2 linked regions of the Coturnix japonica genome follow. The protein of the gene in region 2 purifies or fractionates together with the protein of the main gene of each other region. This does not show direct contact. Links are inferred from orthologs where the notes say so. Each region holds a gene or a part of one and is shown on either strand. Other genes may lie near its edges.

What was found.
Region 1: the proteins of DACH1 (region 2) and JUN purify together in Homo sapiens (affinity purification with western blotting; 3 studies listed by BioGRID and IntAct, with this or other methods). This does not show direct contact. The link is inferred for Coturnix japonica from reciprocal best matches to the Homo sapiens genes DACH1 and JUN.

The regions. Positions count from the first base shown.
Region 1 is NC_029523.1:23,592,486-23,608,099, forward strand, and holds JUN (transcription factor AP-1), read right to left. Parts: upstream 9,296-15,614; 5' UTR 8,772-9,295; coding exon 7,827-8,771; 3' UTR 7,202-7,826; downstream 1-7,201. UniProt on the Homo sapiens protein: Transcription factor that recognizes and binds to the AP-1 consensus motif 5'-TGA[GC]TCA-3'.
Region 2 is NC_029516.1:140,888,545-140,904,158, forward strand, and holds part of DACH1 (dachshund homolog 1), read left to right. Parts: intron 1-4,274; coding exon 4,275-4,422; intron 4,423-8,821; coding exon 8,822-8,965; intron 8,966-9,442; coding exon 9,443-9,511; intron 9,512-13,352; coding exon of another isoform or gene 13,353-13,375; exon of another isoform or gene 13,376-13,419; intron 13,420-15,614. UniProt on the Homo sapiens protein: Transcription factor that is involved in regulation of organogenesis. Seems to be a regulator of SIX1, SIX6 and probably SIX5.

The sequences.
Region 1 (15,614 bases), on a different chromosome or scaffold from region 2:
CCTTTAATAGAACTCCAGTTGTAGATCAAAGTATAGCAATGTTTAAACATAGCTTAATGTATTTGAATTAATGAATCAAAATATATTTTAGTGTATAATCATTTATAGGCTTTAAAGTAAATACTGATGACTGACAAAGAAAGGAAAAGGTATTAAAGTATTCAGTATTAGAGAACTTTACTTCTGTTCTGACTCTTCTCATTAATTTAAACAGCCTTTAATGTACTTGGGGATTTCATCACTAGACACTCTCAGTTTTTGTTGTGTAGGTGAAAGTGACCATTTTTGCTGGATACCTGGAGATCTTCTGTTTTAACCTCTTATGGTGATATTGTCTGACTCAACCTTAGAAAGAGTGGAGAATTTGCTTTTCTTGCTTCTATTTTTGTGTTAATTGCTTAATCTTAATTGTTCCTGTTTCTATGCAGTGGTACAGGACAAGGGGTTTAATTTCATCTTAGTTCCATTTGATCACTTCTGCTATTACAGAAGTTAGACTCTCCTAAAGAGGCAGGAAAAGGACAAGGACAGCAATACCATGCTGCTCACAGGTTGACGGGCCTGCACTTCTGTGGCTGCACTGCACAGTGCACTCCCAAAGGGGATAACATTAGCTTTTCCTATTTAGATCAGACTGTGGACCTGTCAAAACATTTATAAGTGAATTTCAGGAGAGAATGTCATAAGAAAGACTAAAGAAAATCAGGCATTACTGTTCCTAAACTGAGATGCTTGTGTTGGTAATTTGCAACAGATTTGGGGATGGAGATCTTTTAACAGAAAAAGAGTAACTGCATAACATCTTCCATTCCCTGAGCTCATTATGTTATTCCTTTTGTCATTTTGTTTTGTCACTGTTACCTTTTGGAACTCAATTGGAGAAGTAACTGGCTTTGCAAGTAGATACCATGCTGAGAGTAAGAGCATTCCATGAACCCAGATGCCACATCCAGCCCACAGGCACGTAACCGTGGAAGAAAGAACAATTGACATTAAGCTAAAAAGCGAGACTTTCTCATATTGCCAGCCTGGCATTTCCTGTGCAGTGAAAAACACAGAAGCAATTTCTGCATGTAAGAATGATAAACAGTGAACAGAGGGGGCCGGGGAAATAGCTTGTAACAAGTTTTGGGTGTGCTGATCTATTTTGTATGTAAATTCGAAACAGACGTGGAAGCCAACATGTGTAGCATGTGCAAGGAATTCCATTTATAAGACTTAGAATAATAACCTCGCTGCCCTCTGAAATAATTTTAAATATATATGCATAAAGTTAGTCATCTCACAAGAAGCAGTTTCATAAGCTACTAAAGGACTCAGTTCTCAAGTCAAGTTAATGGGTGCATGACAATTGTTCTCTGTGAAAGTCAAACCATGTTTTATAGCTTTATCCATATGGGAAGTTGAGCTTGTTTAACCAAATGTGTGAATTAAAATTAAGTTATAAAACTGCTGCAAGATTTGCTTGGGCATTTTTGCAGTATAATGGAAGTTGGGAAGAATGAATGTAAGAGTTCCGTCTCAGTCTCCCATAGTTTGGAGATCTGCCAGCGATCCCTGTTTCTCAACACAAGAAGGGAATCTGATTTTTGAACCATGTTTTCTTCCTGGTATTTATCAGTGCTCTGATTTCCAGAACTGCTGTTTCTACCCAGCAGCTTTTGATCTGTGCTGGTTTTTGGTCACTCGTGGGCAAAAAAGAACCAAACCGGTCAACTTCATTGTTACTTTTGCAAAAGTACCTGGAAGTAAAAGCTGTGTGTAGTTGTGAAGCTCAGTTAGGGGTGATTCCCTAAATACGGTACCTTTAGCTGCACTGGGGGGGGCACAAGTGGTAAATATAATGCACAAGTTTCTAACCAAGCTGAAATACGACCAGCCCAGCTACATCTGCAGAGTTGAATGGTGGTCTCTTTTTCACAGCCCTGAGAACCAATGTAGTGGGAAGTTAGATAAAGATGGACTGCTTCCTGCAGGGCTGCACTGGAAAGATATGGGTTAGAAAATCTCTGCTTAAAGGAGAAGGAAACTGGACAAAGACCACTGAATTCTGTTTATTTTCTGTCATTTAAAGAAGGAAACTCTGCTGTTAACTTGCCAAGGGCTTGCTCTGCTCACCAATCTTGTTGCAGGCTGACTGTAAACTCTTGTACCGTCAGTCCCAAAGTCAGCCATGCTTCATGTATAGCTTCATATAGCTTGTTGGTTTTGTTTCTGAGAATAAAAGCACTTAAATAACTGGAATGTTCATGTTTAGAAATGGTCTCCTTCAGTCAGAAAACAAGGAGAACTGGCAAACTGAATGACAGCAGATCCAAACGAGAGATGCATTTGGCATTGAGAATCTCAGTTCCTTTTCTCCCCTTTAGGTATTTGGGTCAGACTCTGTGTGATTATTTAGTGTGATAAGGATCATATCTTGACTGAGGCCCAGACATACCAAGGGAGGGCTTGTAATGAATCTTGTTAATTACTTCTTGCAAGGAGTTTTGAACAGTTAATGTTTAGGGATACCTTGCTGTTTGTATAGGGGGAAGTGGTGTACTTTTGGTGCATGGTGCAGTAGAATAACATTTAGTTTACGGAAGTTCATTCATCACTAACACATGATGGCTACAAACTTTTCTGCTCAGTAGAAGGAAAGGCCTCCTTTTTCTAATGGGGTAAATCAGACCCAGGTTTCGGCCTATCTAACCAGATGCCTTTCAGTTAAAGAACCAGAGCAGCCCACATCTCTGATGTATGCACATTTCTGTTAAGTCCGAAGAGAGCTCATGGTGTCTCCTAACCTAGAAAACTCACTGTCAGAAGTTAAACAATAAATCCTGACCCATAAGTGTTGTGGCTTTGTTTCAAGAGGAACTTTCCCTATTTCACTTCTCAAGGTAAAAACTAAACAACAACCAGAGTTTGCACAGGGAGAGCAGCAGTGTTTTCTGGCTGCTACACCATCTACACAAGAGCTCCGTGCTGCAAACCTCCTTGCAGTGTGTTCCTGCACTGTTTGCTTGTGAGCTCCATCTGCTGGAGCTGCGTCCCATTTCCCACATCTTTGGTATTATGCTGCCAGGTTTCACAGGAATTCTTTTAAATTTGAAAGACAATAGAGGTCAGTTTGGAGGAGTTTCTAGCAAATTTTTATGGAATTAACATAGAAACTGCCTGGAGAATTCAAGGCTCAAAACACAAAATTACTGCTGTTACTCCATAGCTGAGAAAGTCATTGTTGCTTTCAATATTTAGTTAACTTTTTCAGAAGTTTTTTCCCCTTTGCAACTCTGTAGTGCTTTGGAATATTTAAGGATGGAAGGAACCTAGTTGGTAACTAGGTGATGACTTTTTACAAGTTCTCTTTGTAGGAAGCACGAGCTCTGCTCAGAGAATTTATTCTGCTGTTGATGTCAGCAATGATACGTACGTGTGGAACTGGGATGGCCTCCCCCCTGGGGTGCAGGCGCTGCTGCTGGCACTGTGTGCAGCTGGAAGAAACAAGCCCATCTCTGGGATGATCACCTTCCCACAGTGCAACCCACCTGCCTTTTCCTTTTCTTCAGTAAGAACATTAATGCCATCTTCCCTCTCCCTGTCCCACTGCTAATAAGATGTATTACATTTCATAATGGATTTGTGTATGCAGTAATTTCAAAGATTATTCCTTCCTCTGCTCATTACCAGTGTTTTGCATTCACTTGTGTTGTTTGCAACTTTTTTTTTCCTTTAAATAGAGCAAACTTTGCCTGAACTGGCTTTAGGGTTTTAGTTTCTACTTGTTGGTAAATCTACACTGTTATACCTGTCTCAGGGCTAGGAAGAGATGAAAAGCAGAGAAGGCATTCACTTGGTATTAAAGATAAATGCTCTGGTTTTTCAGTTCTGCCATGTGCTTCTGGTCACCTCGCACCTCGCTCCATGGTGTAAGTACTCCACGATGCCCAAGCTTGCTCTGGCCTGAGCCGGTCCACCCGCCTTCGCAGGCTGCTCAGTAACGCTGCCCAGCTAATAAACCTGGAGCCTGGCTCAGGTTATTCAGTGGGCAGAGTGCTGTGCTCATCCAGCTGGACACACCTGCCAGTTTTGCTGCTGGTTCAGGATTCACTCTGCACTGTGCAGCCTCTGCATGTGCTGCATGGTGCTAGATACGTGATGTAAGCCTGCTGTACAACTAACCTGGCTGCCTGCAAATTAGATTCTTTGCTTCCTTTGCAGTTGGGAGGATAAGATCATTAGTGCGTATGCAGCAACGTACTTTATTGAAAGGCTTATTTATTTTTTAAGAAAGCAATTATCTTAATGGATTCCTAAGGCTTTGCATGGGGCAAAACTGTCAGTCTAGTTTCCACAGAGGTTTAGAGGAATAGTGTCTGTATATCATGACAGGTTCCTATAGAATAAAGGAAGTTGTGGCATCTCACCTTCATCCTTAAGTGGGTACACGCTGCCTGAATGCACGCTGGGACTGAAGGGCTGTATTTTGAGGTCAGTAGTTTTTGACCTGCAGAGAACTGAGCAACTCAACGATGAAGGACTATGTCAATGACTGCTACAGTGTCCTGAGATTAAAACTGGCTGCCACATAACTCTTTTCCACTAGAGTAAGTTGGATGGCTACTATTATTTCTGTAGTGACAAGTACTTTGGATTTAAGATTATACAGTCCTCTTTGCAGCTCACTTCAGTTCATGGGATAGAAGTGTGAGGAGTTGGTTGTTTTTGTCCAGACCCAAGTTCTAATTAATATTTCTGTAACCCAAACATGTTGTTCTGATTAGAGGCTCTTTGCCTAGGCATTTCGGCATAGCCTGCCCCGTTTGAAACCCTGCCTTTTTCTGACTTCACTTCCTGAATCCGTTGACAGCACTCACAGCCAAACAAAATACATGCTCACAATGCTGTTATTTGCAAAATATTCCCTTGTGAGTACAGCTGGGGCAACAAAAAGTGTTTCTAAATCTCAAAGAAAACGGACTTTTCCTTATAGAAATAAGGCACACAAAGCATGAGGCAATTTTAATCTCAAGTTAAGTAGGTGTTAAAACTTTGCATTTCACCACATATAAATGCGTGCATGTCTTTCATTACAATCAGGCTTATTGATCACCAAGTGATCTGGTAATACGCTAAGAGTGCTGAGCATTCATCTATTCTGAAGCACACCAGACAGAGACAGGCTCACATCCCACCACGTTGTTTACAAAACAGGCGGAGGTGGAGGTAATATCAACTTACTCCGTCCCACATCAGGCTCAATCCTCGAATGAGACGTGGGATATAAGAAAGGATTTGTGCTCCATCCCCCCTTGTCTCCTTGTGAACCTGTGTGACTGGCACTGACAGCCACGCCGCCTCCTGGGCTGGGCCTGGGCAGGTAACTCAGTTTGCCCGCTGAACCAGCACTGCTCTTACTCAGGAACTTCTTTTTTCTGCCAGTGCTTCAGAATGTGGAACTGGAGAGAGAAAACTTGTAACTGCAGCGCTAAATGTCTGTGTGCATGTATTAGCATAGGGTGGAGCAGACTGTCACTCAGCTGTGTTTAATTAACATAGTATTTTATATAATGTATTTATTTTTTGCGTAATTAGGTGATTAAGCAAAATGCTTGCTAGTAACATCTATTCCATAACCCAGCACTATGGAGAGTTAAACAGGCACCTTTGCAGGTAATTAATCTCCTTGCCCTGCTTATTTTGCTAGTTGGCACTTGCTTAAATCCCTGTAAAACCACACCCAGCAGTGCTGTGTATTATCCCTCTGCTGTCTGTTCCTACATATGGTCAAAATCAACTTACCTTCCGGGTTGCTGACATCAGCAAAATGTGCTCTTGGCAAACTACAGTATCCTCCTAGTAACCCTTTGTTTGGTTGGTGTTGTTACAAGAGTATTCCTCTGACAGCAGCAAACAGCATCTAAACAGCACCGGCCTCCATGCTTGGATTACGATGTAGGATTCTGCCACAGTATCACATTTTACACATCAGGACAACCCTTCGTGTCATTAACTCCATACAATTTGGGCAGGGAAAAAAAAAGTCAGAAGAAAGCTAAGTTCTGTGCTTCCTATGAGGAACTGATCTTTGGATGCACATCAGTTGGAAGTTTCAGAGTATCGCTATGCTGACATTAGTGGTCTGCTCTTGTCATTCTGTGATGTGACCTTACACATGGCAGTCACTGCAGAGAAACTTCTACCTTTTTGCCCTTAAAATATGGATCAGGACTGTCTACAAACGTACTGATGTTATTGCACTCTAGTTAGTCTGTAATAGTTTCTGCTCCTTGCTGTTTGGCCATCGGCATCAAACAGAACATCTGCTCTCTCCTCATATACACAGTTATTGAAGAGAATGAATTGGGTGCCACATGTTGAGAAGGGTGCTATCAGAATCATATCAAAATCATTCCCCCCACCAGCTGAGCAGCATGTCTCTAAAGTAGATGTTTACATTGCTGTGCTAAGAAACAAGATTACATTAAAAAGACACGGGAAGTGCCAGGAGAGTTGCTCTCATGTCTTTTCACTTCCTGCTACGTTGTTTTCCCAGTTTTCCTATTGCTAAAGAGTTCAGAACCTGCAGTAACAGCCAAAAGGATTTCAGAGATAAAAAGTTTTTTTCCACTGACAACAGCATTTTCAGATATTAACAAGGATCACCTTTCACTGCAGAAAGACTGCATAGGAACGAAGGTGAATATTTCTACTTTTGAAGTCTAGAGCACTTTTGTTGCAAAGGAAAGCAAACAGCCCCTTGCCTGATCCTGCTCGAGGGCATTGGCTTAATAAAAAGCATGCAAGAGCACAAGCAGCCAGATACAAGTGCAAAGCAGTTTCACACACCGGCTTTCTACCATCTCTAGAGCCTGCCTAAAGCCAAAGTCAGCCGCCCCAGCAGGGCCACTACAACACACAATAACCTCCCAGGTTAAGGTTAGGAACTGGAACTCCCAGACAACTCAAAAAGTTCTGTTTGCTCAGTGCTCAGGATCTGGTTCCCCCCGTCTCCTCCTCACACGTTCTCCAGGACATGCCTGCACTTACAGAGCGAGTTTCACATAATCCCTGCCCTTTAGAGTCCAGCATTAAGGGCATTTTCCTAACTCACATACTAGCAATAATAATAATAATAATAATAATGAAAAAGGTGTGAGGAGGAAATGCATTTTAAGTATTTTATTTTTTTTTAAATATAATAGAACCTTCTAGATTTTTTCCAGAAACAGAAACATTAAAAAAATTATACTTTATTACAAATGGTAAACTCAGAGTGCTAAAAAAAAGCCTCTTATTTACAAACAATACTGGGCAGTACCCAAATAAACAACATAAAAATAACTTACAAAGTCATGAAGTAGTTTATTGACATTAATCAACTTTCATAAAATAAAATAAAAAAGGATATGTACATACACCATTTACTTGAAGGCAGGAACAACAGTTCTTGGTTGTTTATCAGCCTCCCACAAACCTCCCTCCCGCTTTTTGTTTGTTTGTTTGTTTCTTAAGGAATACTACATGAAGCAATCTACAGTTTCTATTGCAGTTTAACCTTTAATACTGAATGATCATCGAATGTTAGGTCCATGCAGGTCTTGGTCAATGTTAAACGAAGATCTGTCGCCTCATGGGAGCAGGATCAGCACCTCGGAGCGGTGCCGGCTGCTTCACCAACTCGAGCTGAAGGCTGCCCAGTCTTTGCACACATGTGCTTTGCAGCACGCAGGCAGGACTCACAGCCTCCCAGCTTCTACCGTGAGCTTTACGCGTCCGCCGCTTTTGGTTTGTCGTTTAGTTATACCACAACATCACAGTTCCTATTGAAGTCAGTCTCTTCAAAACGTTTGCAACTGTTGTGTTAGCATTAGCTGGCACCCGCTGTTGACATGGTTCATGACCTTCTGCTTAAGCTGTGCAACCTGTTCTCTGAGCATGTTGGCAGTGGATGCCAGCTCTGAGTTCTGGGCTTTCAAAGTTTTCACTTTTTCTTCCAACCTGGCAATCCTTTCCAACTTCCTTTTCCGGCATTTGGACGCCGCGATTCTGTTTCTCATGCGTTTTCTCTCGGCTTTGATTCTCTCCTGCGACTCCATGTCAATAGGGGACAGGGGAGGGGTTTCCCCCGGCATTTCAGGTACAGTCTGAGGCTCTTCTTTCAGAGCCTGAAGCCTGGGATGCTGCACTGGCATCTGGGGGTTTATGTGATGCTGCGGCGCGTAGCCCATGCCGTTGGCATTGTAGTTGGGTGCGGAATTGAGCGCGTTGGGGTTGAAGTTGCTGAGGTTGGCGTACACCGGGGGCTCGCTGTGCAAACTCGTGTTGAAGCTGCCGCCGCCGGCCATGGAGGACACAGGTGCCATGCCACCGCTAACAGGTTGCGCGGCCGAGGTGACGCTGGGCAGCGTGTTCTGGTTGTGCAGTTCCGCCAGCGCTCTCACGAAGCCTTCGGCAAACCCCTCTTGTTCGTCGGTAACGTTCTTGGGGCACAGGAACTGCGTCGGGGTCGGCGTGGTGGTGATTAACCCGTTGCTGGACTGGATGATGAGCCGCTCCAGCTCCGGGGAGGCCAATTTCAGCAGCCCCACGTCGGGGGAGGTGAGGATGTCGGCGTTCTTGTTCCGCAGGTGCGGCTTCAGGCTGCTGGCCGGGTCGGACAGGTTCAGCGTCATGCTCTGCTTCAGCACCTTGGCGTTATTATATCCATAACCGCCGCTCTCCGGCGGCGCGAAGCTGGCGTTCAGTGCATCCTCGTAGAAAGTAGGCTCCATCTTTGCACTCATAGAACAGAGCCCAAAAAGTGGCGCCGGGAGCCGCCCCACACCGCTCCCGGCCAAGCGGCTTGGGGGGAAAGAGCAAGCCGGAGCCTTCCTTACTTCTCGCCGGGACAACGCCGCTCCTCCCGGCGCGGGCCGGGCCCGCCGGGCCTACGCTGTGCGCTGTGCGCTGTACGCTGTACTCTGTACTCTGTGCGCTGTGCTGCTCCCCGGGCCGCCTCTCCGCGCTGTGCCGGGCCGGGCCGCTCCTGCCGCCGTTGCCGCTTGTACCTCCCGGCTCCGCGCTCCGCTCGGCCGTGCCCGCTGTGGCGGCTGATTCTCGCTGCCGCCCGCCCCGCTCTGAGCCCGCTCGCTCCGTGCAGCCCTTCACTTATCAGCGACCGGGAGCCCGCTAAAAATAGCCCATGATGTCACCCCGCGCGCTCCCCATTGGCTGCCGCCGCCCGTCCCGGGGGAGGCGTGGCGCTGGCCCGGCGCGGTGCATGGCAGCCGGTCGCCATGGACACCCCGCCCCTAGAAGCTTCTCAGCGCCGGCGCGGGGCCTTGTGGGATGAGGTAATGCTGCCGGCGGCGCGGGGCATTGTGGGCTGACGTCTTGTTTTTGAATATCTGGTTACCGCGGCCCGAGCTCCGAGCGGGGTTGGGCGGCTCGACGGCCTCGTACCAACCAACCGCTGCCCTACCGGGTACCGGGGCACCGCGATGCCGCCCCGAGCCGCCCCGCGCCCTCAGCCCGTGCGTTGTGCTGCGCTCGGGGCCGAGATGCTGCGTGCGGCGGGGCCGGGCCGCGCTCCTCCGTTCCACGTCGCGTTGAGTCCCGCCGCATCGCCGCCTCCTCCCCCCCCCCGGTCCCGTTGTTGGTACGGCCCTGAAGGTGGCGCTCCGGGGGAGCCCTCACGTGATTTCCCCGCCTCGCTGCCCCCGCCGCTTCCAGGCAGGGCCGGGGCGGGCGCGCACAGCGCCGGGGCCGCCCCCGCCCCGCACGGGGGCACAGCGCAGGGCGGGCGGCGCTGGGGTGGGGGCGGCTCGGCCTCGTCTCCTCCCGTCCCGGGGAGCCCCGGCGGGCGGGGACGGGCGGCCCGGCTGCCCTCAGCCCCGCCTGCCTTCAGCCGCTGCGGTGAGCGCTGTGTCTGTTCCCAGGGCCGGGAGCTCCCCAAAGTATGAGAGGGGAAAAAGCTGCCGGGAAGGAGCCTGGCTCTGGATGGGTTTTCCTAAAGTTGTCCTCCCGGTTGTAGAGCTGTGCTGGTATTAGTGTGTGAGCGCAGCTTGGCCAAGGGGAACGGCTGGAGATGGAGGGATCCGGTCGGGGAGGGAGGTTTGTGCTGCTCCACAGCTACCGGGGACTCGCAGCTCGGCTGATGGACGGGACGGGAACCCGGGGCAACAAGTGCTGCCGCTGCTGCTTCGCTGCTGGGCTCCATCGCTTTGTGTGACATACGAAGCTGACAAACTTAAGTCTCGGTTTGAAAATGCACTTTAAAACTCTTAAGTGCTATTTTTTTTCTTCTAGATGTAATAACATAATTAGCACTTAAAGTACGGGAGGGAGCAATGTAATAAACAGAATCAAAAAGAGCTGTGAATTAAAAGTGAATGTCTGGATGCACTGACTGATAGAAGTTACTGCTCCTTTTATAGAGTCATCTCCCGGTCCTCCCTGCTGTGCACACCTGGCTGCACTCAGTGTATCCACTTCACCCATGTGCTGGAATCACACAGCCAATACCTGTGCATGTTTGTGCTAACAGTCAAGTGAATTAGTTTGCCCACAAATGTGGGCCTTAGTGTTTGCTGCAGGTGTGTGCACAGCCTTCAGGTAGGCAATGAGCACCTGTGTGCAGGTAATTCCAGCTGCCTCTGTAGCTCCAGCAGCAGTTACTGCATGTGTATAGGAAAGCCTCTGAAAGTCGTCTGTGTTAGAAGCAGCTTCCTAGCTCCATCCTAAGCTTTACACACAAGATAAATAGAGGCCACAGCCCGACTCCTGGCACAGGAGTTGAGGTACACTGAGCAAAACTGGCAGATGGAGGGCTCAGAATGAATGAGGGAAATTGCTTTGCAGAGCTGTTTGCCGTGGAACACCTTGGCAAGAGGGTGCTGTGCAGAAGGAAGGATTTAAAAGTGATTAGATGAAGTCACAGGAGAGAAATCTCTCAAGGGCTGTTGAGTGCAGCCGATCTCTGGCTCTGGAAATCCTAAAGCTGCAAATGACTTGTCTGGGGGAGCATCCCAGGGCAAAACCTCTGCGTGTGTGCCCTGCTTCTATGTGCCTCAGGTATCCAGCCTTGGCGACTACGGGGTGTCTGCTTGGGGCCGTCCTGGTGTTCTTGCTGTGCCCGCACTCCCACTTAGTCTGTAAATGATCCGGCTGTGTTGTGTCAGCACGCCATTTTGAGACGTGTAAAGGGCTTGTCTATGCAAAGAAGAAATTCTGGAGAAAGGGAAGACATGAATTTGAAGCGTTTTGCTGGAGGTTTTTATTTTAAAATGGTTTTTAAACCTAAAGGTTTTTATACGTGTGGTTTTTGTTGCGTAGGAAGCCGTTACAAGACTTTTCCTTTAGTCAGTTTTCTGTATAAACAAATAACCCTGACAAAGGTTGTTCCAATTAACTGTTGACATATTTAATTTGTCGGAGTGTCGTCCATCTGTTTTATCCTAGAAAGCCACATTCAGTCTGTATATCAGGTCGGTGTAGCTTTAACCCCTCGGCCTGGTCAGCAGCCCCTTACAGCCCGTCCACATCACCCCACCTGGGTGGATGCAGGATTTTCATTGCCCTCAGTGAATGTTGGATTAGGCTGGAGATATTCATTCCAAGTCATTTCATTTCTTTGTTCTTTTTTTATCCCCAGCCCATTTTAGTTCTTTTTTTACTTCCTTCCTTTTACAAAGGTGCAGTTTAGGACTAGACATTCCAGTTTGCCAGAGACGTGTTGCTACTGAGGCCCATAGCTATGGGGGACACCCATCAGTCCACTCATTACGTTAATTACTGCTCACTTAAAGGTTACCTGGTCGAGGCTGGTAATAGGCAGCCAACTTGCCCATAAAGGTTGTGCGTAGCAGGAGAGCTCTGAAACCCAAGCCCGACGCTCTTTGCTGCTCTGAGGGGATTTCAGCGTTCTGATCCCAGCAGGGGATGGCTGCCAAGCGGGTGCTTGGCCATGGGCTGGGATCTCAGCTCAGCTCTCAGCACACAGTGCTGGGCTCCCACCCGAGTCATTGAGCGCTGCTCAGCAGGAACGGCCTGGTTGGTGCGTGCAGTGACAGCAGTCCTCCATGGCTGGGAGCTTGGGGCTGCGCTCTGCTCTGTTCAGCAGCTATTACTTGAGGGCTTTCCCCTCTTTCTCGATGTCCTTAAGCAAATGCTCCTTTAGCAGAATGAAAACACCGGCCCATTTATAAACCGTGGCCATTTACATGTCCCAATAAACTAACCTGTGGGTAGGGACTGGAAATTAGCTGCATATCTCTGTTGCTGTGAAAGACAGATTCTCTGACCAGCATAATGCAGGTTTTGATTTATAAAGTTCTCTAATAGATCAATACGAGATTGACTGAGGCAATCAGATCATCTGAATAATTAAATGGCTTTTCAGAGACAAATTAAAATTTCTTATACATACTCCATCCATCTAAATTATATTTGGTGTCCAGGAATAAATAGGTTGAGTGGTTTGTTTCGGGCCTGTATCACAAGTGCTTTTAGCTTATTTCTGGATCATTAGAAAGAAGAAATGTTAGGTTTCTACTGTTTCTATATTGGAAGTGGTGCTCACAGAAGGAGAGTGCTTGCTTGCACGCAGGGTATTTGTGGTTTTTAAGCTTAGATGTCATAGAATCAACATTAGAGGAGTTCTTGTGTTATTCTTATGAATTTGTTTGCTTTTGACCCCTTTGTGCTTTCCAACGTGAATCCTGCTTCACCTCCGCATGATGTAAGACTGAGAATCCACAGACCTTCTCAGCTTCCCTTTGTGATGAGCTGCTATAGAGCACGTCAGCCCTGCTGAGGGAGGGGAGAGTTGGCCGGGTCAAAAGGAACAAGTGTATTTCTTTTATTTTCATATCAGAGCGTGGTGAAAGAGGCCAGGGGTGCGAGGGCACGGTGAGCTGAGTTTCCTTGGGGTAAGTGGAAGTAAAACTAATTCCCAGGTGTTCCTCAAGGTGTGTTCTCAGGGCCAGTTCAACTCCACCTCAGCCTGCAGTACAAGAGGTGTGGCAGAGCCGCCACATCGTCCACCCCCGGCTTCCGGCCCCACGGCCGCTCCTTCTGCTCTTTGCCCTCACCAGGGCTCACGTGGCCTCGTGGGGATCCAGGAACTGCGTGTGGCTGAGAGCTGAATCCAAATAGTCACCTTTGGGGGTCCGAGGGAAAGCTGTGAACACACAGGAGGTGTCTGAGCTTGATGTGAAGAACCCTGAAACCAGATCTGTAAGACAAGACAGAGCACTCGGTCCTGAGTTAGCATTTGCCCATGAAAAGGGTTCCTCGGAACTACAAGCACTTGTAAATGAATATCGTGTCCATCTCCTCCACCCTCAATTAGTCATCGCTTAACCAAGCTACATGCGTTTAGTCCTTTTCATCTTTCTTGTCAAGCCCTTTAGCCTGTCCCCCTCACCTACTCATCCCACCAATCATTTTAATTAATCTCTGAATTTCTTTGAAACTACTACTTTGTGGAATGGAGGAAAATGAGTAGGTTACAGAGACAAGATTGTGAATGATGGAGGTGGGGCAAAGTTAGGAGTCTTTGCAAGACCTGTTGGGTTACCTCGGGGGCAGGACAGCAATGCAGGATGTAAACAGAGAGAGTATAGAAGTGAGGGAGGAACCACTAAAAACACTTGTTGTTGTTTTTCCATTTTATTAAGAATACTGTTGGGAGCATTTCAAACCTTGGATGCTTCATGTGAAGCAAAACGTGAGTGAAAGATGTAATATGATTGTCTCTAAAGGTACTTTTTTTCCCATTCCTTGTTGGCTTTATGGAGGCACTGAGTTATCACTGCAGTTACTCAGAAATACATTTTCAGATGATAAATGAACTTCTTTTTGTTATTTCAACAGCTCTATTTGCATAATTTTTGATGAAAAACCTGGCTAGTTACATTATTTAGAGATGAAGAGACCCCAGGGTATTGCTTCCCTTGGAATTTTAGGGCATAACAAATCAAAGCATCGCACTGTTAATGCCTCTGCATTCATTATTTCTATGCCACAGCATATCCAGTGTTCTGAGAAATGGAGAGTTGGGCAAAGTTCCTATCCTGTGGATCTTACACTTAAACAATCCCCAGCACATGATCGAGGCTGGCAGAAAGGCAGCTGATCTGCAGTGGGAGCCCAAAGAGTGAAGTGAGTTGGAAGGTGAGCTGTGCAGGAGGCACTGAGGGCATGTGGCATATGGGAAGCAGACGGCAGCGCTGGGCTGTGGGCTAACAGTATGAACAAAATTAACATACAAATAGAAGCATGCAAAGCTGAGTGCTGGGGAGGCAGATGAGCACCTTTGAAAAGATATTTACTGTGTTTGAGGACAAAGATCCCAACAGAAGTGTGCGTTTTTTCAGATACAACCAAGGCACGTTTTCACTGTGCAGAAAAGAAACGAGCTTTCTGGCATTATGGTATTTTGATAAACCTTTATTAAAGTAAGCAGGAGCAACAAAATGCATTGACTTATGTCTGCTAGTTGTGACCAAATACCTCAGAATAACCAGATTTAACCAGATTTAACTATTGGGAGCTGTTGGTAAAATATTTTATTTTTTTATTAGTGCCTGAGAATGGATAAAAAATGCCTGGCTTTTTAATTAATGAGCAATCTGGCATCTTGTCAAGTTGACACCTCACTCTGCCTTAGCAGCTGTTGGAACAGTAGGCTCCTGGTAACCTGGGATAAAGCAGTGCTTGCAACAGGAGAAGGAAAGGAAGCAAGTCAGCATGACACCAAAAATGCCTTGTATAGAGCACCACAGAGCATAGGAATTTCCAATGAGAAATCAAGCTCCCCTTCCCTAACCTACGAGTTCAGGCTTGTATGGACACCGAGTTTCTGTTGCTGACTATCACCAGTGGTTGGTGGCTGACAGATGTAAGGACTCCGATGTGAATTTGAGTGATGTTTTTGGTTCTGACTATGGTGGCAATAAACAGAGAAAGCATTGAACAGTGAAAGTAGGTCCTGCAGGTTGCTCCTTCCCAGGGATTATAGTGGCAGAGCCTGTGGGGAAGTTTACTAGTGCCTGCTCATGTCATTCAAATGGAAACATTCCCTCTGGATGACAGTCATTTGAGTTGGAGTCATGGTGAGGGAGCAGTTAGGGTTGCCAAACAGCTAAGGCAGACACTGCAGGGAGGAAAGGGCACATAGGAGGAAAGGTAGGGCAGTACCTGGAAACACAAGCAGAGTTAAAGACTTCAGCTGTGGGGGAGATGCTGCCAAACAACTACTCTTCCTCAATCTCATCTGATGAATAATAAGCAGCTCGATCTCTGAGCACAGCTGACATATCACACACTGACTTTATAGCTGCTCCCCACTGGAGCAGGCAACCCTGTCCCCACCTGAAGTGGACATGTCCTGGTCTTGTCCACAGCAGCTTCTCAGGGCTTCTGCAGGAGAAGAATCAGGCCACTTCACATGCTGAAAATTGCACTTACTGCCTCTTTTCTTCAGTAAAAAATCGTGTGCAGTCACTGACACAGCAGTACCTGTAACTTCCCTCATGTCAGACAGGAGGCAGAGATGGAAAATTCTGTCCAGGTAATATTGATCCTTACCTGAGTTCATCTTATTTACAGTGGCTTCAGGAGCACAGCTCACGCATATGCTGGAG
Region 2 (15,614 bases):
TTAGTGATGGGTAATACTGGCTTTAAGATAGAGATACATTTAATTCATAAAAGATCAGTAGTCTGCCCTAACAAGATGGTGTCTATAGGTATATTAGAGATAACTATTAGTCAGTGAATGAGGAGAAACATCAACCATGCATCAAATTATTATTATTATTTTAATTTAGAATATTTCTAGAGGACTTATCAGTGTAAATTAACAAACAAATAAACAAAAAATCAAAATGATTCTCTAAACTTCCAGGAGAGAATGTCAATGTTTTATATTACACTGAAATTAAATATATATATGCATGTATGTACGTATGTATATATTAACAGCGACACATACAGGAAGAATGGCATGCCGTGTTTAAAGCCTTGTTCCTGATAGAGCCATACTGTATTAAAAACAAATCTGGAACCTGAGCATGTTCACTACAATTATCATTATCCAGCCTTCATAACGTCTGACCTTCCCTAAACAGAAATATTTTCCTTTTTTTAATGCTCTGTGTTGCACTGCATTTTCCATTGTCATTGGCAGCATATTGATTTAATATCAGGTTAGAGGATTACCCATGGCAAATGTAAGTTGGACATACTGTATTTTGTATAATCTTTTACAGATGATCCACTGGGAGAATTAATAGAATTTCATGCAACTCTGAAATTGCTATTCCTGTTCCAAAGGGCACTCAAGATTTTTAGATGCTGTACTTTTTAGTTGATTTTCTCAACCCTTCTTCATTGAATACAGAGAGATACTGAATGTTTCCAGTATTTTTGCATTAGAGATGTCATTGGCAGCAACAGTACTTTTGCATATGCATCAGTTTGGCTCTAGTGCAGATTTTTTTCAACATTGGACGCCTACTGATGTGCACTGATTTAACTTCTAAAAATGAAACTTAATTTTGTGTAGCTTATAAGTAGTCCCTAGTGTGTCTTGGCTCCAAAAAGCTAATATTTTTCAGACATAATCAGCAGCAATAGGTAATGTATTACCATTAGCTACGTTAGCAGAGGGTTTAAAAAAATGAAAGGTTGAAGGAGGAAGTATGGTGCAGAAATTCAATAGAAAATACAATATGCTTTTAGCAGCTTCATACTATACAGCGATTTTAATATAAAATTACATGTCTGTGTTACACTAGAATTATTCTCCATGTTCATTCATGGATATTTAAAAAACACAAAAATATTTGTTAGCCAAGGACAATAATAGTTTAACAGTAATTTATTTTAAACTGCTACTGATAATACAACCAATCAACAGATTAAGTGGTGCCAACATTGGCATCTTGCTAAATGATCTCTAGACTTTGCACTGAAAGTACATCTTTCAAAGATAAGTCAACAAGAGCAATCAGAGCAGAAAATTAGAATTTGGTATCTTAGAATTAAAATACAGCTAAACTAAAGTTTTAATTGGGGTGATCTAAAAGGGCAGTTGACGTAATGATCTCTTTCATTTGTTACTAATTGTTTATTCCTGATGAAGAAGAAACATGTACATGAATGTAGTTGAACTGAGTAAAGATGGCAGTTGTTTTAGCAGCTTGATTTTATGGTTAAATGAGATGGATTGCAAGAATTTGGGAAAGGCATTTGACAATAAACTTTCAATCTACAAGTACTCTTTGTGTAATTTCCGTTGATCTTTTTGTTGTTTTCTTTCTAGATTTCGAACATAAACCCAAGGCTGGTATTGATATAATAATTCCTATCAGAATTTCTCAGTAGCACTTATTATAAAAAACATAATTTGTGATAATTGTAAGCATAGCAGAATGAAGAGGTGGTTGATGGCTCAGTGTCTGATTGGAGATTGGTGACAAGAGGTGCTCCCGAATCATCAGTGCTCTGGACTGATACTCTTCAATATCTTCATCAGTGACATTGACAGTGGGGTTGTGTGCACCCTCAGGAAGGTACTGATGATATCAGCTGCCATCCAGAGGGACCTAGACAGGTTTGAGCAGTGCACCTGGGTGAACCTCAAGAGGTTCAACAAATCCAAAAGCAACCTGGGTCAAGGCAACCCCCATTACCAATACAAGCTGGGGGATGAAAGGATTGAGTGCAGCCCTAATGAAAAAGACCTGGATGTGCTAGTAACTGGGAAGCTGGACATGAGCCAGCAATTCACCCTCACAGCCTAGAAAGCCAACTGTATCCTGGGCTGAACCAAAAGTACTCTGGCCAGAAGGTTGAGGGAGGTGATCCTGCCCCTCTACTCTGCTCTGCTGAGGCCTCACCTGGAGTACTGCATCCAGATGTAGAGTTCTCAGTACTGGAGAGAAGTGTTGGAGTGTGTCCAGAGAAGGGCCACAAAAATGATCCAAGGGATGGAACACCTCTCCTGTGAGGAAAGGCTGAGGGAGCTGGGGCTGTTCAGCCAGGTCAAGGCTGTGAGGTGACCTGAGAGCAGCCTGTCAACCTCTAAAGGGAAGGTACAGAAAAAAAGGGGACAAACTCTTTAGCAGTGAGTGTCTGTGGTGACAGAACAAGAGGCAATGGCTTCAGGCTTACAGAGGGTAGATTTAGGTTGGATATAAGGAAGAAGTATTTCACAGTGAGGGTGATGAGGCACTGGAACAGGCTTCCCAGAAATGTGGTTGATGTCCCATCCCTGGAGACATTCAAGGTGAGGCTGGATAAGGCCCTGGGCATCCTGATCTAGCTGTGGTATCCCTTTCATTGCACATGGTCCTTGCAGTTGGAAAGTTTTGAGTTCTTTCAGCTGCTGTGGACTTCAATGCATTGAAGTATAATGAAACTACAGAGAATTACATTTTTAGTGAGACAACACTTAAGACAACAATTTAGTTAAGAGTGAGGAAGAGTGAGGATAAGAACAGACTTGAAAGAAGAGGTGGAAGGATGCAAATTTCAATGGTAGGCATTGACATTAGGAAGGCTAACAAGAGAAAAGTGCTTGCTAACACTCAAGAAAGTACTTTTTTTTCCATTTTCAAGTATCATAATGGTGGTTTGGGTTTGGGTTTGGGTTTGGGTTTGGGGTAGGGTTAAAACTCGGAATTTAATTTAGGAAATGTGCTTAAATGGTGAGGGAACTTATGACTTGGAGAACATAATTTTGTGTCTGTAGTATGCAGCTCTGAAACAGGGTCTTGAATATAAACTTTATATCTTTTAACTTTCCTAAAATAACTACCAGCAACTTCTTCAGTCTGTCTTGTTGGCATTGGTTTGCTTCATATCAGCAAATCCCTCTTGGGTCAAAATAGATCTATGACTGTCAGGAGACTTGCCTTGGATATAGAAGAGTTAAGTTCTTGTCCATGCAGGTTCATATATGCCTAGCCATGCTTAATTATCTTCTCTATTATGATAGCTTTACATGAAAGAGATAAAAGTGTGGAGCCAAGAGCCCAATGGCCAGAATTCTGGAATATGGAATTCTTTACTCTTCCTATATTTATTTCTTTCAACCCTGTTTCCCCTCCTCTTTATTTTATATCAGTGTCCTAATTATCTATTAATTAGTTATGCCAAGATCTGTCTGTTTCTTTGCAAAAAAAGAAGGAACTGTTGAATTAAAGTCCTCAAGAAAAAAAAGAAATTAGGCTGAGTAATTATTTTCTGATGCAATAACCACAAAAATGTAGAATTTTTCCCCAAACATACCAAGTCAAGAAATTAAGAGATCGCTGTGTTTTGCCATCTGTTATGAGATAACAATTGTACAAGATCAGTAAAGTACTTTTAAAGACAGAAAGATCTTCTTGCTTTGTGAGTGTCCTCTGCTTAACATCTTAACAACTTAATCTTCCTTGGAAACAATATTGAATGTAGTAATATTGAACAATAAGGAGCTGGACTAAAGACTGAATTTGCCATTCTTAAGGTGATAAATAATGAGACTGACAACTCATTGTCAGTAGGACAGCTCTTTTTGTAGTCACTTGCAAGTGGTTTATATACACTTATATATACATATATATTTTATCTTCCATGAAGAATAAACCTATCCCTATAACTTTCTAATATTAGTTTTACATGTATTTAAAGATCATCATGCATCTTCTGTAAAAACTTGATGCTGCTTTTATAAAGATTTTTTGTCCACTTGGTAAAATTCACTCCAGTTAAAATTTGCTCTTGATAACTGGGAAACTCTGAACCAGTAACAGGATTATTTCATTTGTAAAATTTCATATGACTAATCAGAGATAAATAATGTCAGTTGTTTATTATGCCATCTGTTGTAATATTCCTCAAACATTACAATGTCCAAGTTTTGGGTGTTTGTTTTTTTCTGAACAGGGTCTACTAAAGGTTGCTATAGACAATGCCAGAGCTCAAGAGAAACAAGTCCAACTGGAAAAGACAGAACTGAAGATGGAGCTCTTCAGGGAACGAGAACTGAGGGAAACACTTGAAAAACAGTTGGCTGTGGAGCAGAAAAATAGAGGTATCTTAATAAAGCAAACATAAATACCTTGTAATTTTTTTCCTTAGGAAACCTAATTTTTTTTCAAGCATTTGTGTTTCGTCAAAATATTTCTCCAGTACTCCTGTTATGTGCAGGCTGACTACAATGCAGGAAGTTTTTCAGTCTGCCTGATACTAATTTTCCGTAGGTTCTGCATGAAATTTAGTGCAAGCACCTTCGGTTTTGTTTTTTTTTTTGTTTGTTTGTTTTCTGCATTTGTCTTGAATATAACTTATTACAACATATCAGTAATACACAGTACAAATGTAAACACAGCAAGTGCAGTTATGGACTTCAGCAGGATGCAACCATTATGAAAAAGGATAGCTACTTAAAGCAAACACAACTTTATGAAATTTTATTCTCTTCGAGGTGTTATGAATTCATTTCTTTTCCTATGTGATAGAGTCATATACTGCATATTTAGGCAATCTGTACATAATAAAATACGAAGTTAATAGTAATATGTAAGCCTTTTGTAATGCAGTAGGTCAAATATGTTTATAGAAGGAACAGATAGCTAAGGTTCTCTTTGAGAAAGATCCCAGTGTAAAGCATATTAATATTGAACATTTCTTAATGATTTCTCCTTGTGGAAAAGCTGACTGCCCATGGTTTGGATGGGCATACACTTCACTCAGTGAAACACTGGCTGAATGCCCGGGCCCAAAGAGTTGTGGTCAATGGAGTTAAATCCAGTTGGAGGGTGGTCATGAGTGGTGTCCCCCAGGGCTCAGTACTAGGACCGCTTCTATTTAACATCTTTATTAACTATCTTGATGATGGGATTGAGTGCGCCCTCGGTAAGTTTGCAGACAGCACAAAGTTGGGAGGTAGTGTTGATCTGCCAGAGGGGAGAAAGGCACTACAGAGGGACCTGGATAGACTGGATCGATGGGCCAAGGTAAACTGTATGAGTTTCAGTAGGGCCAAGTGTCAGGTCCTGCATTTTGGTCACAACAACCCCAGGCAACCCTACAGGCCTGGGGAGGAGTGGCTAGAAAGCTGCCTGATGGAAAGAGACTTTGGTGTACTGATGGACAATCGGCTGAATATGAGTCAACAGTGTGTCCAGGTGGCCAAAAAGGCCAATGGCATCCTGGCTTGTATCAGGAATGGTGTGATGAGCAGGACTAGGGAAGTCATCCTGCCCCTGTACACAGCGTTGGTGAGGCCTCATCTCAAGTAATGTGTCCAGTTTTGGGCACCTCAGTATGGAAGGGACACTGAGGTGCTAGAGGAGGTCCAAAGAAGGGCAGAAAGGCTTGTGAAGTGCTTGAAGAATATGACCTATGAGGAGAGACTGAAGGAACTGGGGCTGTTTAGTCTGGGGAAAAGGAGGCTGACGGGAGACCTTATTGCACTCTTCCAATATCTGAAAGGTGCTTACAGTGAGAGCAGGGTTGGTCTCTTCTTACTGGTGACGGGTGACAGGATGAAGGGAAGTTGCCAGGGTTGTGCCAGGGTAAGTTTAGGTTGGATATCTGCATTTTTTTACAGAAAGGGTTGTTAAGCACTGGAATAGGCTCCCCAGGGAGGTGGTTGAGTCACCACCACTGGATGTGTTTAAAAACCATTTGGTTGTGGTGCTCAGGGACATGATTTCACAAGTGCTGTTAGGGTAGTATGGTTAGGTCATGGTTGGACCTGATGATCTTTAAGGTCTTTTCCAACTGAGTGATTCTGTGATTCTATGGTTTCCTGTATATTATTTATCTTACTCTGCCTTTATCCATTTTTTAGAGTTAGGCAACAATACACACAGCAGAAACATTATAGGTGGGTACTCATCTGACTTTGAGTTTTGCCATGTAGAAATTAAGTGCATAATTCAAGCTAATAACATAAATTCCCTTTCTTTCAATCAAGTGATTCCTACATCCTGTTCTGAGACAGGTAGGTGAGGTCAATTACACTGTGAATAACTCTCTCTTCCCATTAGCACTGGAAAGAATATCACTGACTAAGCTGGACTAGACACTTAGAGTTTCAGCAGGTAAAATTAGGTGAAATGCATTTTGCTCTAAGTTGTATTTCAAGAAAAAGCATGTGTTAGTCCTTTATTTTTGTTAGGATAGTGAAATAATTGAGAGTGTTATTTTCTGCACTATACATTATCTGCTTCTTTTGTATGTATCTTTCTAATGACAATATCGCACTGGCAAAAGAGTCAAACCAAAGAGGAATGGATATGAGCACTTAACAGTGTAATGTAGTAAAGCAAATGTAATGAGGATGACTGTCTTCGGTAGTGGATGCTTCCATACAAAAGAAAGTAAAAATAACATATTATTCTTTACAATGAAGAAAGCCAAGTAGGAGAGAAAAAATAAGACTTTGTGATTACTTTGGGAATTTATCCTTCAATGAAAGACTGAAACGCACATTGGAGGCTTTGCCTTACATTAGTTTTAACCAGTACCAAATGTCATGTCTGAAAGAAAGTCTCACATCTTAATAGAAGCATGAGCAGGATGGGATAAGCATACTACATCCCTCTTAAGAAATATTCTGTAAGAAAAGGCTGAAATACCCTTAAAAAGCTGCAGCACAGAAATATATGTACACCGTCATATGCAGGTCAAAGCCCATTAGGCAAATGGGATCTTCAGCATTAGGCAACCAGTATCAATGCCTATCTTTTGCTAGTCATGTTAACACAAGTCAAAAATCTCTACAGGCAGGATATCTGATTTATTATTATTATTATTTATTTATTTATTTACTGTCATTTTGGGGAACATTAAATCCACCGCTGCTACTGTGTATTCTACAGTGCTGCTTATTTACTGTATTGTTTCCTTCCTTCTTTGTAAATATTCCAATTAGTGATTCCTAAGGCTGTAGGATGTGTCTCATCAACCAGTGAAAGTAGGATAATCTCTCTTCTGTGAGCAGCTACACAGTAAGGGCTTGCTAATTCTGGCTCTGACTGCTGTAGTCACATCTACAATGTGTCAGCCATGATGACATTTTAATTTGGAAAGCAACATATGTTTCCTTCTCATTTATTGCAATCACTTTCAAAGTACTTATAATGAAAACATTAAAATGGTGCAATGATTCAAAATGTATTTAGTTTAGCATTTGTAAAGATACTAGCTGTTCTTTGATAGTGTAAGATAGTATGCCTAGAAAGTAGTTTCACTATACAAAATGAGAAAGTGCCAGAATTCCAAAGTCTTGCATGTTAATGATGTAGCTATACTCACTAGAGGGTTTGCGCTAATGTAATAGACATATTTTGTGTGTAAACAGTTCTGTACAGCAACACAGAAAAAATAAATAAATCTAAGACTGCTCAAAAAGATCTTACTTAGCATATACATTAAATAGAAGTAATCATGATGGATCTCTTTAAAAATTTAATGATTTGCATTCTGTGAAAGTTGCAGCTATGACTATTGAAAATGGAGACTGTGAACTGATAGGCACGTATTTTGAACCTTTCCAATATTTCTCACTACACCAGATACAAGTGGTTAATTTGGAGAAGGTTAAAGAGTCAGATAGATAAAACTTAATAGTCAAGTCTAGTATCACCTAGTATCTGGTTTTGGTAATGGTATTTCTGTAGTTAGTGTAAAAATAACAGATTCTCTAGAAAAGGATTATCCAGGTAGATCTTACAGTAAATGAGCCTCTTACAAGAGTGTTTCTGAAAACACTATGGTTGGAGTGTGGTTGAGTAGATAACAGTGTAATCTACAACTTTGTATGATTTATTTAGTGGATCACTTTCACTGAGTAGGAAAAAAAAGTGTTCACAATACTCTTTTCCAATGAGGACATAATCTCTGATATGCTCCTTCAGTCAGGGAACATACAAGTTTTATTTTAGTTCTAATTTGGAAGGAACTGTCTGGAAACATAAAACAGAAAATCATGATGGATTTTCTTTAAAACCTATCATCTTATATGATTCATTTACATCCTATTCCTGCAACCATTTCCTTTGTAGAATGTGAACAAGAAGCAGGAACAACATTTTCTAAGTAAGGGTTTTCTGCACTGAATTGTTATTTATTACTTTCCTAATCTTTTCCCTTACATTCGAGAAAGCGAAGTAATAATTATTTGGCTTGGGGATCTGGCACTGTCCATTTGTTTCTAATATAAAGGATTTGGAATAAGTTCCAAGATTTTCCAACTTACACTTTCACAAATCCTTGTCTGTTTATTAAAAGAAACAGCATGGCAAAGTGGCTCTTTAAATATCTGTGAATCCAGCAAATTTCAGGTAGCTTAAATAGATAGTGTGTAATTACACAATTTATGTGGACTGTTACAGTTGTATTGTTTCTTGGAACCCTTAATACATAATTCCATGGCCAAGTTTCAGATCTGAATTTGAGTACACTGATTTTCTTCCTTCTAGCAATAATTCAGAAAAGGTTAAAGAAGGAAAAGAAGGCAAAGAGGAAATTGCAGGAAGCACTTGAGTTTGAGACTAAACGACGGGAGCAAGCAGAACAGACACTGAAACAAGCAGCTTCAACAGATAGTCTCAGGGTCCTAAATGGTAAGAAGCCAGCTTTTGCTTCTGTGTCATTAATTTTCAATTTAAGTGTCTAAAGAACCTTGTTAGTATGAAATCTATAACATGGTGGGAGAGGGAAAAAAGGAAAATCTCTCTTCTTTCTTTTGTTCAAGGGATGCCTCTCTCTTTTTTGCTTTGTTACTTTATATAGCACGTGCAAATAAATTCATGGAAAGAATGCCCCAACTAGGCCTATTTTATATTATTAGCTTGAGAAGTCGTAGGTTTGGTTTTTTTTTTCTCCTTCTTTTTCTTCCTACCTTTATGCTTGAAAAATCTATTGCTCATTAATCTCCCTAGTCTAACAAAAAATTGTTCTGGCCTCTAGTCATTGTTCAACATTAAAAAAAACTGACAAAGGTTGATTGTATTGTAATTCAGCTTTAGAGTAACAGGTTGTAAAAAGGGCCATAAGAATCAAATGAAATATGTGTCAGTCTTACCTTTCTATGCTTCTAGACTCTCTGACCCCAGAGATAGAAGCTGACCGCAGTGGGGGCAGAACAGATGCTGAAAGGACAATACAAGGTAAGAATTTGCAAAAGGCTATAAATCTAGATCTTGCTATATGAGTTTTTCCTCAGCTTTAGAATGCTATTCAAGCATGTAGCCTACCATCTGGGCCACATCAAAACAAGTTCAAACAAGGTCAAGTTCATCTTGCTTTATAGGAGAGAATATATTCAGTGGCGATAGATTTTCTTTAAATTAATAGGTCATTTCTGTTTATCTTCTGCAATTAAAGAAGAATAATTAATTTGAAGCAATATAGGCTTTAATCTCAGGCATGCAAAATGCAGTTTTTGTGAATATATAACATTTAGGATAACTTTTTTTTAAAGGCTGATTTAAAACAATTTGAGCCTTTCAACTATACAAATGGGTAACATTCAAGGCAAGATGAGAATTTCATAGCTAATATTCAGTGGCAGTTCCTGAAAGGTGTGTTTCAATAAGCTACTGTGAGCATTAATGATGAATAAACTGTTTATTCACTTCCTGGATTTTTCATTTACCACATCCCATTATTTACAGTTTAATAAAACAAATCTGCTGAGTAAATTTGTACATGAAATACTAAAGAGAGCCTTATTACTTCCCCTGTGAATCTGAATGTATATATATTGCAAGCACCACGATATTAGTAAGGAACAAATTTTTAAGATAGCATTTGTGTTATAATGTCCTCTCTAGTCAACAATCTAATTCTACCTACATGAATACTAAACAGCAGAAACAGCATTTGTTTTCAAGTGTAAATGAACGTGCTTTTTTACAAAGGCGGCAAGCCTAAAATGGTTAGCACCAGTAATCACACTCAATTGCCTTAACTTTGCATTTTGAAGTCAATCATCTTAACAGTATCATTTGACATAATCTGTGTGTTATTTAATCACTTTTACTGACTTCTAAAGTATTGTTACTAGTGTGCCACAAGGAGGCCATAACAACAAAATAAGATGTCAACAGTCTTTAAAGGTATTGAGCATATACAAAAAATCTGTGGGACAAACAAAAACATTTAGATTTAAATTGTGTGTTCTGTCTACAAAGCTAATAGCTCAGAAGTTGAAATATGTCAGTTTGAATGTTGCCTGGGAAGTAGGTAGATGTGACATTATTGTTACAGAATCCTGCTTCTCCTTTGACTGAATGTATGCCTAACTAAAAACACCATTTGATACATCCTTCTAATGAGAATACAACCAACATGCTCATTTGCTACAAAACATACATTTTGTTATTTTGTTTGGTGCACAGACAAGCTTTTCTTTGGAGATATTTCTTTGGAGAAAATACATCTGAGGTAACTGAGTTCCTTGCGAACACTAATTTATTTATCTTCAGACTATTCCTGCAAGGAAGCAGAGTTTGAAGTATTCCCATTGAAACTTGGGAATCAGAGGAAGACTGAGGTGACAAATTGTTTTATGTGTTCACTGTGTTCAAATCCTGTTCCTATTGAATTCAGTTTCCTTTATGAGCTGAGATATTCAGAAGATGAGAACACATAATTACAGAGTATTTTGGATGTGGGTATTCTAAAGGATTTATCCCAGACTACAAAGGAAGAGCATTTCTGTGTTTTAACCAAGCTATTCTCCTGTTATGCTCATTTTGTACATGTACATTTACAAAACAAGTGAAACCAAGGTCTTAGAGACAACATTCTCAATAATGATGACTTAATCTTGACTCATCTGTCCAAGATTGTATGAGGAAAATAAATAATAAACCCCATAAAATAATACTGATGGTTGTTTAGTTACAGACTGAACCGTGATGATCATGGTATTGGATCATACTTACTGCATAGGCAGCCTTAGTTCTGACATTTCCTGTCTTTGCTTTCCAGTTTTAATGTACAATTTAAATAATTTTTTTTTGTGGTGTTTTTTTTTGTTTTGTTTTGTTTTTTTAAATGTATTTTTTTATTTTTTTCGATGTATTTTTCAATATATTCAGTTTAATCATTATATCAGATTTTGGAAAATCTAGGTCTATCATTGGGATGTAGATTTACAACACAGTATGTAATTGAAGGAGTTTGTTGTCTTTGTGGATCAATTTTTTGTGGAGTGACAGTTTCAGAAATAGTTATTAACAGAGGAGTAATAGTGAGTGTCAGGACTCTTTGTATTCATTTCCACTACAAGAAGGAGAATTCCCTTTCCCTTTTCTCTGTGTTCCCATTAGCATGTATCCCTGTTAGTCCTGTATCTCCATGTCCCAGTTCCTCCTTCTTTCTTTCTCCTCATTCTAATTTCAGCTTTTGTAGTGGCTGTTCTCACTGTCCTGTCTCAACACTTCTTCTCCCCCCTCCACTAATTTTCCATTACCGATGAACGCATTCTTCCACCATTCTCTTCTGAACTAAGTTTCACGCCACCCTAATTATTTCTTCTATTGCAAAATCTTTCTCCCTTATGTGACCCTTTTTGTTGCCTTCCTCTTTTGTCCAGTGGTTTTTAGAGTCTGCACTCCACTAACATTCCCTGTTAACAGCCTTTCCTGTTTGGTAAAAAGTCTTTCAGTATTGATTCTGTTTCTCATGCCTCCCCATCAGGCTCACATTCCTAACTCCTCTGTAGACATTCTGTTTCCTCTTCCAAATCTTCCTTAGTATCAGCAAGAGAATAATTGAGAGAAAAGGAAAGACAGTTTCTATGTTGCTATTTCAATATTTAGCATAATGATTGCTTGCACAAATGAGGATAGACAGTTTCAGTGAAGGAGCTTCATTCAGTTCCAGGATAAAGCATGCTCACTACAAATGGACTCTTTGGAGAATTTAGTTGCAAAATTGTACAAAATCTTTCCTCCAGTGTGTGATTTTTTTTAACTCTCACAGAGATAACCAAGAACATGTCCTTCTATTTTTTGAAATTTTCAGTTATTTCTTTACATTTTATCTAATAATGATATTTACTTCTGTATGCAAAAGAAGGATTATTCCATAGAATACACAGTATATTCTCTAATAAAGAATATAATATTTAATTCATGCTTTCAGGTTCTGGAAAAATATGCTCACTAGGGAAGTATTTATATGCCTTTCTTGCTCCACTAAAATACCTGTGTTTATATCTTCCTGTATCAAAGCATATATGGGGTAATAACAGTTTTATGCATAATCATGATACATTTTTTTCAACTTACTGTATTAAGCATGCTTTGCAGTTCTTTAACTGAACAAGCAAATATAGCAGCAGCGTTCTGTGGGGATGTAAAATAATTGAAATATCAAGTATAATTTCAGCATTTGAGAAAGTATTAGGCAAAGAGAATAGAATTTTAAAATAAAGATTTTATCTACTCTTTATTATAAATAAAAAGATTCTTGCTGATTTAGATCTATATTTAATGTAAGTATTGTAATGGTCACTTTTGTTTGCAAGGGATAGGACTAATTTAAGTGTAAAAGGTAATTACATTTATCAATAAATGGGGTATGTTCTATTTTTCATCCTGTATCACCTTCCAATGTGTTCAAATTCACTTTTAGTTCATATAGAGACTTGTAAAAAGAGAATGATATTCAGAAAAAAGGAGTTTGTGTCTGTAGAAAGAAGCAATAACAGATATTATATTTTTTCTAGGTTTTACTTTGTTTTGTTTTGATTTGATTTTTTTGTTTTGTTTTTTTAATATCGGATAGCCAACATCTTGCTGAACTATCCATAAAATACTGAGGAGTAATCATAATAAATAACTCAAATGTAAGTCCAAATGTACATAGATATTTTTAACAGATGCAGATACTAAGTTATTGGGAACTGGTTTAGACACTAGGTTTAAATGTTTTCTTTCTTGCTTTTGTTTAAATTTATAATAAAGCAGATTGTCCTCTTCTCCATACATATTGTAGGTTCACTAGATGCCTATGCCTAGCTCCCAATCCGGTTTCCCAAGATCCCCTCATCCCACACAAAAAGGTACCAGACAAAGATAATGTTTACTTTTATGTACTGTTTTGTTACCAGACCTCTTACTAAGCACTTAGAACAATGACATTTACTGCTGTTCTTACTTTCCTTTTTTTTCCCACTTTCCTTTTTTTCCCCACTGATTCTTTTCTTCCCCATCTGCTTAACTGTCCTGTATTTTTTGCCAACATTATTTTTTTTCTTTTCCTGTATAAATTCCACATTCATTTTTCCATGTCCTAGTGATTTCCCTCCCAAATACTACACATTTGTAGTCTTTATTCTATTTAATCACAGCTCTCTTTATGTATTGTCTAAACTCATCTAAAAAAGTTCTGCTTTACACTGTCTTCTCCACTGACCATTTCTTTAGTGTGGTGTCTCTTTCACGTTTTCCTTTTCCCAAATTCTTCCATTTCAGTGCTTTCTTCCCAAAACTGTTCTGATAATAGCAGGAAGCTTAACCAGATTCTCTGTCTCTGCTGTCTTGCATATCTTCTTCATTTATTTCCTATTTTCTATGGAGTGCTTCATCCAATAGCTTTTCTGCTTCCTTTTTCAAATTCTGCATACTCTTATTCCAGCTTTTGTAAAGCCAAATCCCTCATTCTCTAACAGCCTCTTCTTACTCTGCTCAGTTCCCATGAGAATTCCCATTGTTGTTTCTTGATTGTTTGTTTGTTTGTTTTTCCCAAATATCTCAGGAGATCCTTTCCTTTTTTGCATATTCTCTGAATTTCTCCTGTCTATTCCAGTATTTCAGTTTTTCCCTTTCTATGAACTCTCCTCTAGCCCTTGTTCCCTTTGTCCATCAGTCAAATTTTATGTGTGAAATCCTTATTCTCTGCAGATATACTTTCTCTTTGTAGCAGATTATCAGCCTTTCTTTTTACTCTCTTCATCCCACAGCAAAATTAGCTTTTACTAAGTCCTTTCACATATTGTTTTTTTCCCAGTTCTACACCTCTTCTGCAGGGTGATATTAAGAATACAGTGAAGTATAATTTTAAGTGGCTTCAGACTATTTGTTCCTTATGTGAAAAAGCCATTCAGTTGCCATGCACAGGAAAGTTTCCAGGACCATCTGTTCTTCTCCATTCACAGACCTTTCTCAAACTTTTTATCTCATTAGCAAACAAACAGAGGTACTTGCTCCCTCCTAGAAAGGACAGGTCAGGAAATGGAAATGTTTAGGAGATCCTGTAACACAGAAAGAGAGCTACTGCAACTCAACATACTGACTGCAAAGTCCTCTATTGAAATTACTTTTAAGATCAGTGAAGGCTACAAATGAAGAAAAGGAAATTATGATTTAATTTTGCATATGCCAGGGACCTAAAGGGTACATTTTGCTGCCTAAGTAATAGGAAAATGCTGCCCTGCAGCTGCCCTAGATGTTAATAACAATTGCTTAGAAACGGCTTCAGTCATTTGTCTGAAAACCTAACCTGAATTGTTTTCTGCATTGGTTTGAGACTTGTTTAATCTATTTTTCAACAAGCAAAATCAGTGTAATAATCACAGCAAATTATAGTCTTTGATGCTTTCTTGCTATGTTTGTGTTTGAAAGATAGCTATCTGAAGGACTACCACATTGAAAAGGAACTTTCAGTCATTCCATGAGCCTTGTGTACACAGTTCTATTTCTGATGTAAAAATCTTGACAAAAGCGTGTCTAAATATGTGATTATATTTCTTATAAGATCAGAAACTTTTATTGGAAAAGGCCATTATCAAGACTGTAAAGTCAAGCATTCCAAAATTAGGAAGTGGTAGAATTAAGGTTGTCTTCCGCACCTTTGTTCTGTCATCTTTGTATACGCATTGTGATATAATCTTTAATTATGTGATTAGATACTGTATTTTGCACAGTACTTCATTCAGTGCAGGGGACAAGGATGGAGTTGAATAAGTGGATATCTATCCAATATTTTCTTTATCTCTAGTACTCAGTGTGTTCTCATGCTTTAAATAATTATTTATATACAATATTTTTCTCACTAGACATCATGCTTTACAGAAGAGGTATGAAAGATTATCTCAATTTCTTTAATATATTAAATCTTAATTTTAAAATTTCCTAACAGTTGAATGATTTGCTTTACCTTTGAATAATGTCCCATTAGTATAGGTGATCATTTCTTAGGGTTTACTTCTTCACAGGTAAACTAGAGAGTCAAAAGTTTCATTGTGAAATGATATCT